Linked DNA regions of Neurospora crassa OR74A. The protein of the gene in region 1 purifies or fractionates together with the protein of each later gene. This does not show direct contact. Links are inferred from orthologs where the notes say so. Each region holds a gene or a part of one and is shown in the gene's direction. Other genes may lie near its edges.

Region 1 (4,300 bases):
TCTTGTTGAGTTCATTGCGGCTATTGTCCTTGTCCTTCTGTAGCTGATCGCCTCGTTTTTTGTTTTTGATGCTTTCACGTTCGAGCCTCTTCATCTCCGCCAGCAAGTCCGCACAGCGTTTGGTCAGATGATCAATCTTTTGGAGGTCGTTCATCCGCGAGGTCTGGCTGTGTAGCTCCCTACTAGCTTTCTTGACCTCTCGTTCTGCGCACGGCTTGCTGTCAGCGCCTTCTCTTTCATCCGAAGCCAATATCGCCCGCCTTGACAAAACTCCTCTGTCTTGATTCAACCCGTCTACATCCCAATCGAGACTGGAGGGTGGTCTGAAGACATGCAGCAAAGGTTGACTGAGGAGGTTCGGTCAACGACTGTCGAGTGTTTCTGAGCCTTCCGTCCCCCCCTTTTCGATCCCATAACATCCGCCATTGCCCTCTCAAGCGCCCAGCAGGTTGTAAGGACAAACACGCACCTATTTCGGCCTCCTGGTCCTTTTCACCAGCGGCATCTTGCTCCAGTTGTGTGATTCTAGCAGCAATGAGCTTACTGGCCTCGTTCGGCTCGGGAGCCTTTTTCGGTTTGCCCTTTTTGCCCACCATGTTTGCGGGGGGCGCAGGAGCCGGCCGGGTCTCGTGAGCGTGGTTCGGGTGGCCATTCGTGGCAGGAGGGGGGTCGACCGGATGGTTTGCCGATCCATTGCTCATGGGTGTCGCAGGTCGAGGGCCGGAAGTTGCAGTGGCTGGAGGATTGGCGCTTGACATTGTCGTGGGACTGGCCTTGATGCCGGAAACAGGCGTGTGGTCGGCAGTGGCCCCTCCGACTGGCAATGTCAACGAGATGTCAGTTGCAAAAGGCTTGCGTGTGCACGGCAGTGGTGCGTTACTGCTAGCCTTGCCGCTTAGCCGTCGTCGTCGTCAGAGTATGGTGGTGTTGAGCGCGCACAATAGGAAAACTGTATGCGCTGTGGTGTGGAAGTTGTGTAATCGAGTCGTTGTGTATTCGGGCGGCCGTGACGGCAGCAGTCGTCAAGATAATGGCTGCGGAAGACTTTGATGTATGGGAAAGGACGACCAGATCGCTATGGCGTCGGTTAATCTGATGGGGCGCGCGAATTGGATGACAGGTTCCGCTGCGTTTCAACAGGCGGCAGGTACCTGCTCTCGGTCTCCGGGGCCCCAGCACGGACTATAAATCTGAGTAGAAACAGTGCTCCCGCCGTCCCTTCATGGCTGCTACTTTCCACAATTCTTCTTGCCCACTACCTTCTGCATGGATAATAAGTACCTCTAGATACCTGTGCTCTTATTACTCACTGTTGGAGGCATGTTTCCTCTGGTTGTCATCGACGGCACTTACATACTCCTGATGTTTTGTGGGGAATTTCATGATCTAAGTCCTCGACTTCGAGGAACCAGACGGCGTTTTCATCATGATTTCATCCGTGGCCCGCCGTGCATCGACCTCGCATGAACAATATGTCTTGGATAGTGTACTAACATGCTGCTCACATACTTCATCTCACATTCGTCAGATGCCGATTGCCGCTCTTACTGTTGACATCCAAAGTTCAACATTCAGACACATGACTTGTTTGCTTTTCCGAACACTCATGATGGGGCCAAACTATATTGTTGCAAAGAGTCCATACCTATGATCAGTTAAGTAAATACAAGTAATTCTCATGAGCTTATAGTGCAACTAAGGCTTACCTCTCCCTTCCAGAGGCAACTTCCTTTATCTGTACGTGTGAAAATGTCCCTCGAGGTTACAAACAGATAGAACAGTACTTATCGCAGTGTCTTTAGTGTGGGAATGAAGCGCTGACAAATCATGCTCTGAGGTACCTCATTAACAACTTTGCTCTTTTGAGGCACGGCTACTCATTAGGTTGGATGATTCAAGACCACTACCTAGAGAGCTAGCCTCCTCGTGCGCAGGTGCAGCCTCCAGCGCCCGTCGTCGCCTCGGCCCCACTATTCCCGACTCTGCCGAAGCACGGTTCAGTTGCAGGTTTTCCACCAGGGGCAGGCTTCCTTTTCCACTTGATTCCTTTGGAGGCGGGCAGGAGGGGTGGGTGTGGGCTGAGGGGCGACAGACGGCGGGGGCGGGACAGTCAGTCACCACCTGAGGTACCCACTGCCGCTGTGGCAGGCAGGCCTAGCTCCGCGTCAGCTCCCGTTCCAACTGCCGCCAAAACCGGACGCCTCAAGTAGTACCGTCACCACCACCATCACCATCGCCATTTCCAGTCGTCTTGCATAGTGCCAAGGATTTCTGCCAGCACTCGGGTTTTCTCTACTGCTGCCAGAACGATGCTGCGCAACGCGACCAAAGGTGCAGCGCGCCGCGCCGTCACCGAGCTCTCCCAGTACCCGAAACCCGGCGAGAAACTCCACGGCTTCACCCTTCTCCGGTCAAAGCATGTCCCGGAGCTGGAGTTGACTGCTTTGCACTTGCAACACGACAAGACCGGAGCAGAGCATTTGCACATTGCCCGTGACGACAGCAACAATGTCTTCTCTATCGGCTTCAAAACGAATCCCCCGGACGACACCGGTGTCCCACATATCCTGGAGCACACCACTCTGTGTGGCAGCCAAAAGTATGCGAACTCGAACAGCGGATCATTGGTTGGGCTATCCACGCTGACATGAAATCTCCTTCAGATACCCTATCCGAGACCCCTTCTTCAAGATGCTTCCGCGAACGCTTTCGAATTTCATGAACGCCTTTACAGCATCAGATCACACCTTTTACCCGTTCGCCACCACCAATGCTCAGGACTTTAAGAACCTCATGTCTGTCTACCTTGACGCGACTCTGCATCCTCTCTTGAAGGAGACGGACTTTACACAGGAAGGATGGCGTATTGGACCCGAGAATCCCCAGGCTCTTGTTGCGGCTGAGGGCAACGCAAAGCCCGAGGACAGGAAGCTTGTCTTCAAGGGTGTCGTTTATAACGAGATGAAGGGGCAGATGTCGGATGCTGCCTACCTCTTCTGGATTCGGTTCCAAGACCACATTTTCCCAGACATCCACAACTCTGGTGGTGATCCCCAGAAAATCACAGACTTGACATACCAACAGCTCAAGAAGTTCCATGCTGATCACTACCACCCGAGCAACGCCAAAGTCTTTACTTATGGCGATATGCCACTGGCAGATCACTTGAAGGAAATCGGTGCCCAGCTCGACGTATTTGAGAAGATCCGGGCTGATGTGGCACACCATAGCCCTATCGACCTCAGCAGTGGCCCCAGGGAAGTCAAGCTCTATGGACCTATTGACCCCCTTGTGGACGCCAATAAGCAGTTCAAGACTTCCGTTTCGTGGGTTCTGGGTGAAACCAACAATGTCGTCGAGTCCTTTTCGCTGGCGCTGATTTCTGCTCTGCTCATGGATGGTTATGGCTCGCCTCTCTACAAGGGATTGATTGAATCCGGGCTAGGAACGGACTGGAGCCCCAACACCGGATATGACAGTTCGGGCAAGCTTGGTATCTTCTCCATTGGCCTCAGCGGTGTTCAAGAAGAAGATGTGCCCAAGGTCAAGGCCAAGGTACAGGAGATTCTTCGCAGCATGCGGGACAAGGGTTTTGAGAGATCAAAGATTGATGGCTATCTCCACCAGCTTGAGCTCGGCCTTAAGCACAAGACTGCCAACTTTGGCATGTCTTTGCTCCACCGTTTGAAGCCAAAGTGGTTTGTTGGAGTCGATCCATTTGACTCTCTTGCCTGGAACGACACGATTGCTGCTTTTGAGACCGAGCTTGCCAAAGGTGGTTATCTTGAGGGCTTGATTGATAAGTATCTGATCAACGACAATACTCTCTCCTTCACGATGGCGCCTTCGCCAACCTTTAGCCAGGAGCTGGCCCAAGAGGAGGAAACTCGCTTAAGCACCAAGATTTCGGAAGTTGTCAAAGCTGCTGGTAGCGAAGAGGAAGCTCGTGCTGCTCTCGAAGCTCGGGAACTCAAATTGTTGGCCGAGCAAAGCAAGACCAACACCGAAGATCTTGGCTGCCTTCCTAGCGTGCATGTCAAGGACATTCCCCGCCAGAAGGACTCGGTTATCTTGAGACACGATAACACAGCAAGAGTCAAGACACAGTGGCACGAGGCTCCCACGAACGGGCTGACCTACTTCCGTGCTATCAATCAGCTGGAGAACCTGCCCGATGAGCTCCGAAGCCTGATCCCCCTCTTCACTGACTCCATCATGCGTTTGGGTACGAAGGACATGACAATGGAGCAGCTTGAGGATTTGATCAAGCTCAAAACTGGAGGTGTCTCGGTCGGCTACC
Region 2 (4,142 bases), on another chromosome or scaffold:
CTTCCCTTCCTCTTCCATCAGGTACCTACACGTACCTACGTACCTCTCACTTTATCTCCGTACGTATCAATCTATCTGCCAGCCGCTTTGCCTGCCGGAACTGCAGCCGTGGATACTCTTTTTGACGCATGGGTCAGTAATTGGTCTGTTCATTGGTAGCCCGCCGCCGGCGTCAGCTTTTGAAGAATCCGATGATAGCCATTCAATCCCGTCTTCCATTGTAGATATGGATCCCATCTCTTTTGCGTATCAGTTGTCTTTGGACATATTGGACACCGGTGATCCATGACACGGCGTATTTCACATCCATCGGAGGGAAGCCAAACTGTAACTTGTGTTACTACCATAGGCTTGGAGTCTTGATGGTATGAATACCTCGTGGGAAGTTTAATCAATAACCAAGTCGTGTGCCTTTTCAGCTTCTACAACACGATCTCAGGGCAACTCGGATACGAAGCTCTTCAGAGGTTGGGAATATGACTGATGACGAGAGACCGTTGTTAGCTGCTCCTGATTGCTTGTACATACGAAAACTGAAATGTCATCACCAGTCCAATTTTGTCATTATATGCCATTCTGCAGCATCTCTCATGGATCGGGTCCCTTAGTTTGACATCACTGACACTGCAGAGTCCAATCCTCTTGGAGTTGACGGTTTCCATCGCAATCAAATCCTCCGATCGGCCCGCAGAACGTAATCCGTACCTTAGCGCGAACTGTTATGGATCCGTGCAGCTGCCAGTCCGATGTCCCTGTCAGCACTTCATCTCTCTCGAGGTTGTTCATCGGAGAACTGTTGAAGTCCGCATCTCACTTTGGTCCATAAGGTTACTTGATATTCAGGTCTTCATAACTCGCAAATACAGATAGCACCTCCATGCGCGCTGCTCATACATATAGATATTCAAACAAGATATCACTGCTCCAAAGCTAGGTTAGCTTGACAATTCCAGTTCGTGATTGCAACCTCTCTTATCAAGTAATCAATCATCCATCTGCCCCCATTAGGCTTAGCGTCATTTACTCCCCGTTGCGCGACCGGGGGATTCTCAAAGCTTGGCCTCCTGCTGTCTTTGGGCACCGGGCAGCTGCGAGGCCGTGCTAGCCCTGAAATAGCCTGGCCTTGGCTCGGCGGGGGCTCTGCTTACGCTGGAACTGCTGGGGGGAGCTTCCCCCAACTGTTGGGAGAAATCGCAGGGGGGCAGAGAGCAAGGAGCTGAGGGGACACAAGGCGGGCAGTGAGTGTGGTGAGTGTGGTTGGTGACGGGAAGTGAGAAAGTGTGATGCCACCGCCGCAGTGGAGAGAGAGGGAAAAAAAAAAAAAAAAAAAAAGTTCACGAGTGTCGCCGATTGAAGTCCGGCTCCGTATCCCGCCGCTGCCCGCTGTCATCTTCCTGTTGTGCTCTCCACGACGAATCCGTCATTCAGGTCGAATCTCATCTCGCGCAGTCTTCCATCTTTCCAAACCTGCAATCTTCCCGTTCTTTTTCCACTCTTTTTCCGCATCAACCTGACTCGCGCAGTCGACGACTTACACCTCCAGGCTTGGCCCTACTGCGAATCCGCGTCCATCAATCAGACATCCCGGCCTCCCTCCGCACAAGCCAGCTTCTCCAACCCGCGTCCCTCTGCCCCCCTCCCCCCCGGTCGGCCTTTCCCCTCTCCAAGGTCCTGCCGCCGCTGCCACTGCTGCTGAGTGCTGCTCCTCCAGCTTGGTTTGGAATCCCCACATAAACATTCCATACTAGCAAATTGAACACAACCTCCTCTCTCAAAAAAAACACCACCACAACCACCCAACCTTCACATCACACCCTCTCACCATGATCGTCCCCGTCCTCTCAAGGCAGGCTCTCCGCCATGCCAGCGTCGCCCGTGTCGCCCTCCCCAGCCTCACAAGATGGTACGCCTCGTACCCCCCTCACACCGTCGTCAAGATGCCCGCCCTCTCGCCCACCATGACCTCGGGCGGTATTGGCGCATGGCAGAAGAAGCCCGGTGACAAGATCGAGCCCGGTGAGGTGCTCGTCGAGATCGAGACCGACAAGGCCCAGATGGACTTTGAGTTCCAGGAGGAGGGTGTCCTCGCCAAGATCCTCAAGGACTCGGGCGAGAAGGACGTCGCCGTTGGCAACGTAAGTACCTACCTACACTACCTGTCGAGCCACGAGTCATCATACCTGCCAAACACTCCAGCCCTACCTACTCCAACTCCATGACTCCATGCACATCTCCTCCCATCCCGACCCTCTTCCCCACTCGACCCTGAATCCACTCTTCTTCCTTTATGCCTCGTGCGCGCCTCGTGCCCTGTGTCTCGCCTGTCGGGTGATATGTCATGGTGCCGTTGAGCGTCTACACGCCCCGCGTCGCCTTAGCTTGTGCGCGCCTAATGTAGACAGACGACCCATGCTGACCATGCTTCTTCCTCCTTCTCTAGCCCATTGCCATTCTCGTCGAGGAGGGCACCGACGTCAACGCCTTCAAGGACTTCACCCTCAAGGATGCCGGCGGCGAGACCTCCCCCGCTGTCCCCAAGGATGAGCCCAAGAACGAGAGCACCGCCAGCGCTCCGACCCCCGCTCCTACTCCCGCTCCCGAGCCCGAGAACACTAGCTTCACCGGCCGCTTCCAGACTGCCCTCGAGCGCGAGCCCAACGCTCTCCCCGCTGCCAAGAGACTCGCTCGCGAGAAGGGCATCGACCTGCGCAACGTCAAGGGCTCTGGTCCCGGTGGCAAGATCACTGAGGAGGATGTCAAGAAGGCTCTTGCTAGCGCTCCCGCTGCCGGTGCCGCCGCCGCTGCCTACACTGATGTCCCCATCTCTGGCATGCGCAAGACTATTGCCGCCCGCTTGAAGGAGTCTGTCACGGAGAACCCCCACTTCTTCGTTTCCACCAACCTCTCCGTCAGCAAGCTTCTCAAGCTCCGCCAGGCGCTCAACAGCTCTGCTGATGGCCGCTACAAGCTTTCGGTCAACGACTTCCTCATCAAGGCCATGGGTATTGCTTCCAAGCGCGTCCCTACCGTCAACAGCTCGTGGCGCGACGGTGTCATCCGCCAGTTCGAGACCGTCGACGTTTCCGTTGCCGTCGCCACCCCCAACGGCCTCATCACCCCCATTGTCAAGGGTGTCGAGGGCAAGGGTCTCGAGAGCATCTCGGCCGCCGTCAAGGAGCTCGCCAAGAAGGCCCGCGACGGCAAGCTCAAGCCCGAGGAGTACCAGGGTGGCAGCATCTCCATCTCCAACATGGGCATGAACCCCGCCGTCCAGAGCTTCACCGCCATCATCAACCCTCCCCAGGCCGCCATCCTTGCCGTTGGCGCCCCCCAGAAGGTTGCCGTCCCCGTTGAGAACGAGGATGGCACCACCGGTGTCTCTTGGGACGAGCAGATCATCGTCACTGCCAGCTTTGACCACAAGGTTGTCGATGGTGCTGTCGGTGCCGAGTGGATCCGCGAGTTGAAGAAGGTCATTGAGAACCCTCTCGAGCTCCTCCTTTAAACGCGAATAGCACTCTGTTTTGGATGACGTTCAGTGGAGTTATACGGATCGAGCGACTGCAAACTAGATAGCAGTCACTTGGCCCCAAGTTCACGGCAGGCCGGCGCATGAGATTTTATAGAAATGGGCAGGCATTGGAAGGATGGATGAATGGATGGGAGGAAGAGAGGTGATGGAATGACAATGTCAGTCAGTTGGTTGACAAAAAAGCGAGCTGATGCTACAAAAGCTTTTGGGAGGTTCCATTCAGTGTCATGTTTGTGTTCTCTCTCAACCACCATATGTATAATGATTCGATCCCACTTTTTATAAGCAAAAACTTGAGCATGAGGTGTGCGGGAAATACAGGAAATCTTTGTTTCTTTTTCGTTTGTTAGAGTTGAGTTCAGCCCCGGCATCGGTTAGGCAACTTGAGGACTTTTGGATACAGGATTTGGGAATGGCACCCCAATCTGTTTGTCCATTTCTAGCCAAATATGTGGTCGAAGCTGCCATGTTTTGGCAAACCTGCTGCTTGGCTGAGGATACCAATTTTAATTTTGGATATCAGTATTTGGACAGATTCTGCTTTGGCAAAGCGAGGAAAGGTCCTGACCAGGGGGCATCATAAGTGTGATGCCAAGATAATGGGCGGCGG
Region 3 (4,209 bases), on another chromosome or scaffold:
AGCAGGTCTACAACCCATACTACACCTTGGTGGCCAAGAAGCTTTGCGGGGATCGCAAAATCCGGTGGTCGTTCCAAGACGCGCTCTGGAAGCTATTCAGGCGTCTCGGAGAGTCAGTTTTTGGCGATGACGCGGAGGATGAGGAGGATGTAGATGCGATGGACATGCGGCGGCTTGTCAACATTGCAAAACTGTTTGGGGCCATGGTGGCAGGTGGATCGCTAGGATTGGCAATTCTGAAATGCCTCAATTTGCCTTATCTACAAACCAAGACGCGGGCGCTAGTGGAGATCCTGCTGATTACTGTGCTTCTTGAAGCCGGAAAAGGCGGCGACAAGGATCGGGATGAGACGATTACTTCGGTGTTTGTGGCTGTGGAAGGGGTCCCCGAGCTTGCCAGAGGCCTGCAATGGTTCATCAAGAAGGTGGTCCGGAAGTCGGATCTCGCGGGAGGGGCGGCCAACACCAAGCTCGTCAAGGAGGGTTGCAAGACGGCCATGGCGGCCTTGGAGCATGCGCTGCTCGCCGCCGAAGGCTTGGTGGAATAATTTTGCTTTGTTGGATACCTGTATATGGATCGGATATCTTCGGGAATAGCAACATAATGATCAGGGATACAAGTGTGCCGGGGTCTATACAAAAGGCCATTGACCAATATCATGACAAGTTCATGGAACTAACCCAAGCATTCTCGCTCGAATGTAGTTACCTACTTTGTAGATATTAGCGTTGACGGCGGGACTGGAAAAGTTGGGGGTAGCTTTAAGTTGGGGAACTTGTTGTCAGGAAGGGCGATTTGCTACTAGGGATCCAGGGAGCAACCGACTCGAGTGTGCGGGAGCCCGGAAATATAGTGGTCTGTGAATAGCACTCAATGATGTCATTTCGTCTTGCAACGAAGGGACAGGGTTTCATGAGGGTCGGGCGGGACTCTTGATTGTGGACATGAAGAGGAGGCAGATGGTTTGAGATGAATTGCCTGCCATGTGTCATGTCGTTCGACAAACAACTAACCTCTAAGACGGGTTAGGGACAGGTTATGCTTCTCCAATTCGGCAGCTGGGCAAGCTGGGGTTATTTGGCGTTGACGGGCGGAGTAAAGAGGGGAGCAAAGAGGGGATCGCGCCAAGGAGCAAGATGAATGTCAAACACAACCTAAGCTGTCAGAAAAATGGCTACAATACATAGCGGGAGTGCAGAGATGTCAAAATTTTGGAGTCAGCTGCTGCACGCCAAGTTCGTCTTGACCAATCACAGGACGCAATGGAGCGTACCTAGTACCGTACGTATTTGGGGACGGGTTTCTTCGACGAAGCAGTCAGGGCAGCAGCGACAGTAAAGTAAGACGGCGAAGAGCGCGCTGCCCGTCCCGCCTAACACTGGCATCATAGTACTTTTACTTCCTGTAGCACACTACCTCTACACTACTAACACGATCAGGCAGTACCTACCTACCTATTTAGTGTAGCGTACGCGAGATTAGAGGTACCTACTACCTACCTAGGTAGTGGTGTTCCTACTCCGCTCCGTTCGTACCTACCTCTACCTACTCCGCTCTGCGCTGTCTCGAGCGGGCCAGCTTGGGGACGGGCACGGTGGAAAGCGGGTGCCCTTTGAGCGATGTGAGCCTCTGACGGGCTGGCAACCCGAACAAGTGGGACTGGACATTTTTCGCTTGCCGTGAATAGCTTCCGCCTCGAATCCCAACAATTGTCTCTCCCGCGGCGTTTTGCAGTTCAGTACACACTTTCGACGTCTCACCATCGAATCGCATTCCCTGCTTCCCCGGGCATCTCTCTGCAGTGCGCTCGTTCCTTCGAATTTTCCCTGTTTCCATTTCTGGTTTTTCCATTCAGCACATACTTTCACCATGCTGTCCCAAAGATTAATAGGCCGTGCTGCCGTCCGGTCCGCCTTCAAGCCCTCGGGGTAAGCTCACTGTCCCGGTTGCCGGCGGATGCCCGACACACTGTTTTCTCATGCGCGTACTGAGGCTGACCTGACGACCACATACAGGCTCCCTGTCGTCGTTTCTCCCAGGTTGAGGAGGACCTATGCGACCGAGTCTGGTCTGTTTGCCAACATCAAGAGCTGGTTCTCGTCAAAGGATTCTGGTCGGCTGACTGTTGATGTGCCCGTAGAGGAGAAGGATCTCGTCATCATTGGAGGTGGCGTCGCTGGCTATGTTGCTGCCATCAAGGCCGGCCAGGAGGGTCTCAAGGTGCGTCGCATCGCGAATCAACTACACCGCAACACCGACGAATGACGACAATATCTGACTGCTATCTCCCATGTTGCCTGGAAATAGGTCGCCTGTATCGAGAAGCGCGGCACCCTCGGCGGTACCTGCCTGAACGTCGGCTGCATTCCCTCCAAGTCGCTCCTCAACAACTCCCATCTCTACCATCAGATCCTCCACGACTCGAAACACCGCGGCATCGAGGTCGGCGATGTCAAGCTCAACCTCGCCCAGCTTATGAAGGCCAAGGAACAGTCCGTCAGCGGTCTTACCAAAGGTGTCGAGTTCCTCCTGAAGAAGAACGGCGTCGAGTACATCAAGGGTGCTGGCGCCTTCGCCGATGAGCACACCATCAACGTCAAGCTCAACGACGGCGGCGAGACCTCCGTCAAGGGCAAGAACATCCTTATCGCCACTGGCTCCGAGGTCACCCCCTTCCCCGGCCTCGAAATCGACGAGAAGCGCGTCATCAGCAGCACTGGCGCCATTGCTCTTGAGAAGGTCCCGGAGAAGATGCTCGTCATCGGTGGTGGCATCATTGGTCTCGAAATGGCTTCTGTCTGGTCCCGTCTCGGCGCCCAGGTCACCGTCATCGAGTTTCTCGACCAGATTGGCGGCCCCGGCATGGACCTTGAGGTTGCCAAGTCCATCCAGAAGATCCTGAAGAAGCAGGGCATCAACTTCAAGACCGGCACCAAGGTCGTTTCCGGTGACAAGACTGGCGAGACCGTCAAGCTCGAGGTCGACTCCGCCAAGGGTGGCAAGCCCGAGACTGTGAGTGGCCCATGATACCCTGCAGGCTATCTGTTCGTTGTCGTGATCTTCAAAGCTGACATTGTTCGAACACAGCTCGAGGGTGACGTTGTTCTTGTCGCTATTGGCCGCCGTCCCTACACCGAGGGTCTCGGCCTTGAGAACATTGGACTCGAGAAGGATGAGCGCGGCCGTGTCATCATCGACTCCGAGTACCGCACCAAGATCCCCCACATTCGCTGCGTTGGTGATGTCACCTTCGGCCCCATGCTTGCTCACAAGGCTGAGGAGGAGGCTGTTGCTGTCGTCGAGTACATCAAGAAGGGTTACGGCCATGTCAACTACGGCTGCATTCCTTCGGTCATGTACACCTTCCCCGAGGTTGCCTGGGTTGGCCAGTCCGAGCAGGAACTCAAGAAGGCTGGTGTTCCCTACCGCGTCGGTACCTTCCCCTTCAGCGCCAACTCCCGTGCCAAGACCAACCTTGACACTGAGGGCATGGTGAAGATGATCGCCGACCCCGAGACCGACCGGATTCTCGGTGTCCACATCATCGGTCCTAACGCCGGTGAGATGATTGCTGAGGGTACCCTTGCCCTCGAGTATGGCGCTTCCAGCGAGGATATTGCCCGCACCTGCCACGCTCACCCTACCCTCGCCGAGGCTTTCAAGGAGGCGGCCATGGCCACTCACTCAAAGGCCATCCACTTCTAAGCAGCTGGAGCGTTTTGGCGTTGAATGGCTCTAAGCACGGAAAAATGTGCTGTCTGGATTTCTAGCATTGGGAGTATGGAAAGAGGATGGGAGGAGGTGTGTACTTGTACTGTAGTCACGGGCTTTCCCTCGAGGGTTTAATAGGGGATTTTCACATGACATGCTAAATAGACGCCGCTTGTTGGTTGGACTAGGGCTATTTGGCCTTGCGGGTCCTGGTTGGGCTCGAGACTCGATGAATACACGAGATTTTAAGAGATACAGAAAAGCTACCTTGGTTGCCAGATGGGATGGCAGGAAGGCTGCTGGTTATTTTATGTTAACATTGCCGAGTTATCAGAGGGCTGTGGGTTTTGGATGATTCTTGTCTGTTCTCCATGCTGGTGCAATTACTTCTTAGTCCGAGTAGCAGTGCCCATCAATGCCGGTCTTCAACTTCGTTCTGGTGTTAATGTGTATTCTCGTGTACAGGGCATGTTGCTTGGCATGACGTTATTTGTTTG
Region 4 (4,136 bases), on another chromosome or scaffold:
AGAGTCCATCAAGAAGCGGATGAGCAACTCGGCATTGGATGTGGTCACGGTACAAATACACTTCGTTCAGGAACTCTACACTACTATATTGCGAGACACTGTACTACACTACGGCAACCGGGACTATGAAAGACATACACATGCCATCGGTCCACAATGCCTTATATCTTATACCTGTTTTGCATTTGTTCACTCCCTCAACGTATGCATATCGTATGTTTTATCCCAAGATAGGATACTAAACCCACTTGTCTATAAATACCCGGGGGAAGAGGACGGGAGACTTGTAGCGATAGGTTAATGGCAGATATCCTCGATGGTTTGTCTTATGCTGGGCTTTATGCTTTTGTGGTTATGTTGTCTGTCATCAGGACGGTTGTGATACTTTTCTTGTTGATAATGTTCATAATGAAGATATCGCCGAATTGGATTAAAAGTGCCCTTGCCCTATATACGCAGAATCCTTCAAGGCCATGTTCGGTCAGATGTTGATTACGGTTACCTGCATGCCACGCCTGTCGTCTAAACTGTAGTGGTAAGAAAACTGATAAGCAATTATTCCCGATCGAGGTTAGGTAGGGTTCGTGAGGCAAGTGGAAAGCGGCGGCTGTTGGGTGGGGCATTCCGGAATGTCAAACTCCATTTTTGATGGGGTTCACAATGGAGTCGATGGGATGGCGGCATAGTACTGAGTGCCGCCCGCTGTGATAACTGGTCATAGTGGTGACGGTGGTGGTGGTGTCTTTGGAAGCGAACAAGGAGAAGGACGAAAACGAACAAGAGCGAGTCTTTCATTCAGTTCACCTCGTCCGTGACGAAATCATCGAGACCCTTGGCTGTACAACTCGTGGGCGGCAAACGAGGGTCTTATATAATTTGTCATGGAGGTAAGCTCGAATGGAGATCTCCAACAAACTTTCCTTCCCCCACCTGATCCATGCAATGCCAAACTCAGTTAGCGCGTGCTACCCAAGCTTCTGCCTCTGCTCAACACTCGTTCGCCTCGCCCCTCTGACTGTGGACTTTTTTTTTTTGGACGTTCCTTGCCCCTTCCCCTCCATTCTCCTCCAAAAGCTCATGGACCGCGACGGGGAGATCCATAATAATTTTTTCTGACAGCCCTGACAGCGTCAAAACGAGCTCCGGAGAACGGCCGGCATACCGGTACACGTACCGTTTGTGGGAGTTTCCTATCGCGTTAGTACCTGCCCGCCTTGACAAGCTTTTCTAGTAGCAGTGGACAGAGAGCTCTTGTAACTCTGTAAGGTAGGTAAGTAAGCAGTGACAGTACACCTAGCTGGGGGATCTCCATGCCAGAAAAAAAAATCCCCCGGGCCACAGCGTAACACACATATCCGACGATACCCTATCCGTGCTGGTGCCCTGTCTGTGAGCGCCGCCCGGCGTATCTCCAATTGAAGAGTTCGTTCCCTGACGTGCTGCGCCTGCTAGGTGCTGCACACCTGCCCTGGCTGCCCGCACCCAGTCCTGCCGTACCGGGCGCCCTGGCTCGCCTACCTACCCCATCGGAGCCCATCAATTCGCGACCCTTCCACACTCCCGTCCCAAGGATTTTCAGTTTGCCAGTTTGCTTTTGCTCGTCGACTCGTCCTTCATTCTCGTCCTCTCTCCGCTTCCACTCCTGTCGTCATCCACCCCCCCAAACTCTTTCAATCTCTCAGCTGCCATCGTATTTCCCAGCGAGACGAGAGAGACAGATAATCCAGAATGTTTTCTCGCGCAGCCCGGTTATCGACGAGGGTAGCGGCGCCCGTCCGCGCCCGCGTTGCTGCTCCCCGTGTCGTTATTCCCTCGATCGCCGCTAGGAGGTCCGTCACCACCAATGCTGCTTCGGCCCAGCTCGAGAAGCCCCTCCCAGAGGTACGTTTGTTTACTGTTGATGTCGGGATGTCGTTCGAAGTGGGTTTCGATGGTGGTATTGTGTGTGTTGGAGAAACAAAAGAAGACTGGAGGGAGGGAGAGACTCCCTAGTCATGTCCCCTCCCCGAGTCCCCCAAGCAACGCTCGTCGCGAGTCAAGCAAGTCATGTCCCATGCGAGTCTGTCTACCTTACCGCTTGCTGCCGGACCCGCCGGACCCGCCTTGATTCTCTTGACGTCAAGTCAATAGAAAACACCAGATGAACACCGTTTGTTTTGGTGGTTTCGAAACATATCATGTCGTCGCCGTCGTTGTCGTCGTTGGGGGCTGGGTTGTGCAGATTTTTGCGCGCAATCCAAAGACTGTTACTTGTCGCTACTACAACTACTCCTGGGAACGTCGATAAGCTTACCATGCAATTTTGCTTCAATCTAGTCGGAGACCGAGCCCTTCCAGGTCACCCTCAGCGATGAGAGCTTCGAGACCTACGAGCTCGACCCCCCTCCCTACACCCTCAATGTCACCAAGAAGGAGCTGAAGCAGATGTACTACGACATGGTCGTCGTCAGGTATGCAAAGACTACAATCCCCCTTGTCCTCACCGGGGGGCTCTAAGCTTCCCCCCTCCTATCTCTGCCGATCTCGGCCTGGAGGATCAACATGGCTTCACCACATAGCATATAGCTAACACATTGCTCTCTCTGCATATAGACAAATGGAGATGGCCGCCGACAGACTGTACAAGGAGAAGAAGATTCGTGGTTTCTGCCATTTGTCCGTTGGTCAGGAGGCTGTCGCCGTCGGTATCGAGCATGCGATCGAGAGAGCTGACGACGTCATCACCTCGTACCGTTGCCACGGCTTCGCCTACATGCGCGGCGGTACCGTTCGCTCCATCATTGGCGAGCTTCTCGGTCGCCGTGGCGGTATTGCCTACGGCAAGGGTGGTTCCATGCACATGTTCACCAAGGGCTTCTACGGCGGTAACGGTATCGTCGGTGCGCAGGTCGCCGTCGGTGCTGGTCTTGCTTTCGCCCACAAGTACACTGGCCGCAAGAACGCTTCCATCATCCTCTACGGTAAGCCTTTTCTTGGTGGGAACAACGTTGGGGGTTCGGAAGGCTAATACATTGTTATAGGTGATGGTGCCAGCAACCAGGGTCAGGTCTTTGAGTCTTTCAACATGGCCAAGCTCTGGAACCTCCCTGCCCTTTTCGGCTGCGAGAGTAAGTAGCCCAGGTTTCATGGTCTTAGATACTCTTACTGACATGTATGATGGTGCAGACAACAAGTATGGTATGGGTACCTCTGCCGCCCGCTCGTCGGCCTTGACCGACTACTACAAGCGTGGCCAGTACATCCCCGGTCTCAAGGTCAACGGCATGGACGTCCTTGCCGTCAAGGCTGCCGTCGCGTACGGTAAGCAGTGGACCAACAACGACAACGGCCCTCTCGTGCTCGAGTACGTCACCTACCGCTATGGTGGTCACTCCATGTCCGACCCCGGCACCACCTACCGTACCCGTGAGGAGATCCAGCGCATGCGCTCCACCAACGACCCTATTGCCGGCCTCAAGCAGCACATTCTCGAGTGGGGTGTTGCCTCGGAGGAGGAGCTCAAGAACCTCGACAAGGAGGCTCGCGCCTACGTCAACGAGGAGGTTGCCGCCGCCGAGGCCATGCCTCCTCCGGAGGCCAACCAGCAGATTCTGTTTGAGGACATCTACGTCAAGGGTACCGAGCCCGACTTCATCCGTGGCCGTACCCCTGATGAGCTTTTCTACTTCAAGCACTAAAAAAGTTAAAATTGAGTAGAGAGGCAGAAGTAATGACAAACTAGATGGGTTTTTTCAAGTTACAACCAAGAAACTTGTCCTTTCCTCTGATGCATATCACAAAACCAAAAATGGTGCTGGCGTCTTTTATCTACGTCGGCCATCATGGACGGTCGTCACTTCTTCTTTCCATTTTCCTTGTATAATAAAACATTTCTGCGTAGCGCAAAACAGTCACAAACACAACCACACACACAAACACATATATATATATATATATCTAGACAGGTTTTAGGGGAAAGGGATGGGGAAAGGGAAGGCGGGTTATGAAATTGATAAGCTTTCAAGATAGCTGTCTTGTTATGATGCAACAGCTGAATGACTGGGCTTGTGAGATGAGGTCCGATATCGTATCGCAGCCTGCCCCTCCCTGCCCAGCCTCGAATTGCCAGCCCTGTCTGTCGTATCAAATCGGGTTCT

What was found.
Region 2: the proteins of NCU01272 (region 1) and ace-4 purify together in Saccharomyces cerevisiae (affinity purification with mass spectrometry, with the first as the bait; 3 studies listed by BioGRID). This does not show direct contact. The link is inferred for Neurospora crassa OR74A from reciprocal best matches to the Saccharomyces cerevisiae genes CYM1 and LAT1.
Region 3: the proteins of NCU01272 (region 1) and NCU02407 purify together in Saccharomyces cerevisiae (affinity purification with mass spectrometry, with the first as the bait; 3 studies listed by BioGRID). This does not show direct contact. The link is inferred for Neurospora crassa OR74A from reciprocal best matches to the Saccharomyces cerevisiae genes CYM1 and LPD1.
Region 4: the proteins of NCU01272 (region 1) and ace-2 purify together in Saccharomyces cerevisiae (affinity purification with mass spectrometry; 3 studies listed by BioGRID). This does not show direct contact. The link is inferred for Neurospora crassa OR74A from reciprocal best matches to the Saccharomyces cerevisiae genes CYM1 and PDA1.

What each region holds. Positions count from the first base shown.
Region 1 is NC_026505.1:3,477,421-3,481,720, reverse strand, and holds the start of NCU01272 (mitochondrial presequence protease), read left to right. Parts: upstream 1-1,493; 5' UTR 1,494-1,669; intron 1,670-1,884; 5' UTR 1,885-2,309; coding exon 2,310-2,599; intron 2,600-2,663; coding exon 2,664-4,300. Other genes in the region: NCU01273 (beta-taxilin), read right to left, coding at 1-204, 470-758. UniProt on the Saccharomyces cerevisiae protein: Degrades mitochondrial transit peptides after their cleavage in the intermembrane space or in the matrix, and presequence peptides; clearance of these peptides is required to keep the presequence processing machinery running.
Region 2 is NC_026504.1:431,415-435,556, forward strand, and holds ace-4 (pyruvate dehydrogenase complex), read left to right. Parts: upstream 1-1,311; 5' UTR 1,312-1,823; coding exon 1,824-2,135; intron 2,136-2,440; coding exon 2,441-3,505; 3' UTR 3,506-4,103; downstream 4,104-4,142. UniProt on the Saccharomyces cerevisiae protein: The pyruvate dehydrogenase complex catalyzes the overall conversion of pyruvate to acetyl-CoA and CO(2).
Region 3 is NC_026507.1:2,606,974-2,611,182, reverse strand, and holds NCU02407 (dihydrolipoyl dehydrogenase), read left to right. Parts: upstream 1-1,402; 5' UTR 1,403-1,870; coding exon 1,871-1,929; intron 1,930-2,016; coding exon 2,017-2,069; intron 2,070-2,141; coding exon 2,142-2,221; intron 2,222-2,308; coding exon 2,309-3,013; intron 3,014-3,088; coding exon 3,089-3,706; 3' UTR 3,707-4,146; downstream 4,147-4,209. Other genes in the region: NCU02406 (nuclear protein), read left to right, coding at 1-548.
Region 4 is NC_026503.1:1,563,194-1,567,329, reverse strand, and holds ace-2 (pyruvate dehydrogenase E1 component alpha subunit), read left to right. Parts: upstream 1-1,279; 5' UTR 1,280-1,728; coding exon 1,729-1,881; intron 1,882-2,316; coding exon 2,317-2,450; intron 2,451-2,592; coding exon 2,593-2,960; intron 2,961-3,020; coding exon 3,021-3,107; intron 3,108-3,165; coding exon 3,166-3,677; 3' UTR 3,678-4,119; downstream 4,120-4,136. Other genes in the region: NCU16634 (hypothetical protein), read left to right, coding at 1-301. UniProt on the Saccharomyces cerevisiae protein: The pyruvate dehydrogenase complex catalyzes the overall conversion of pyruvate to acetyl-CoA and CO(2).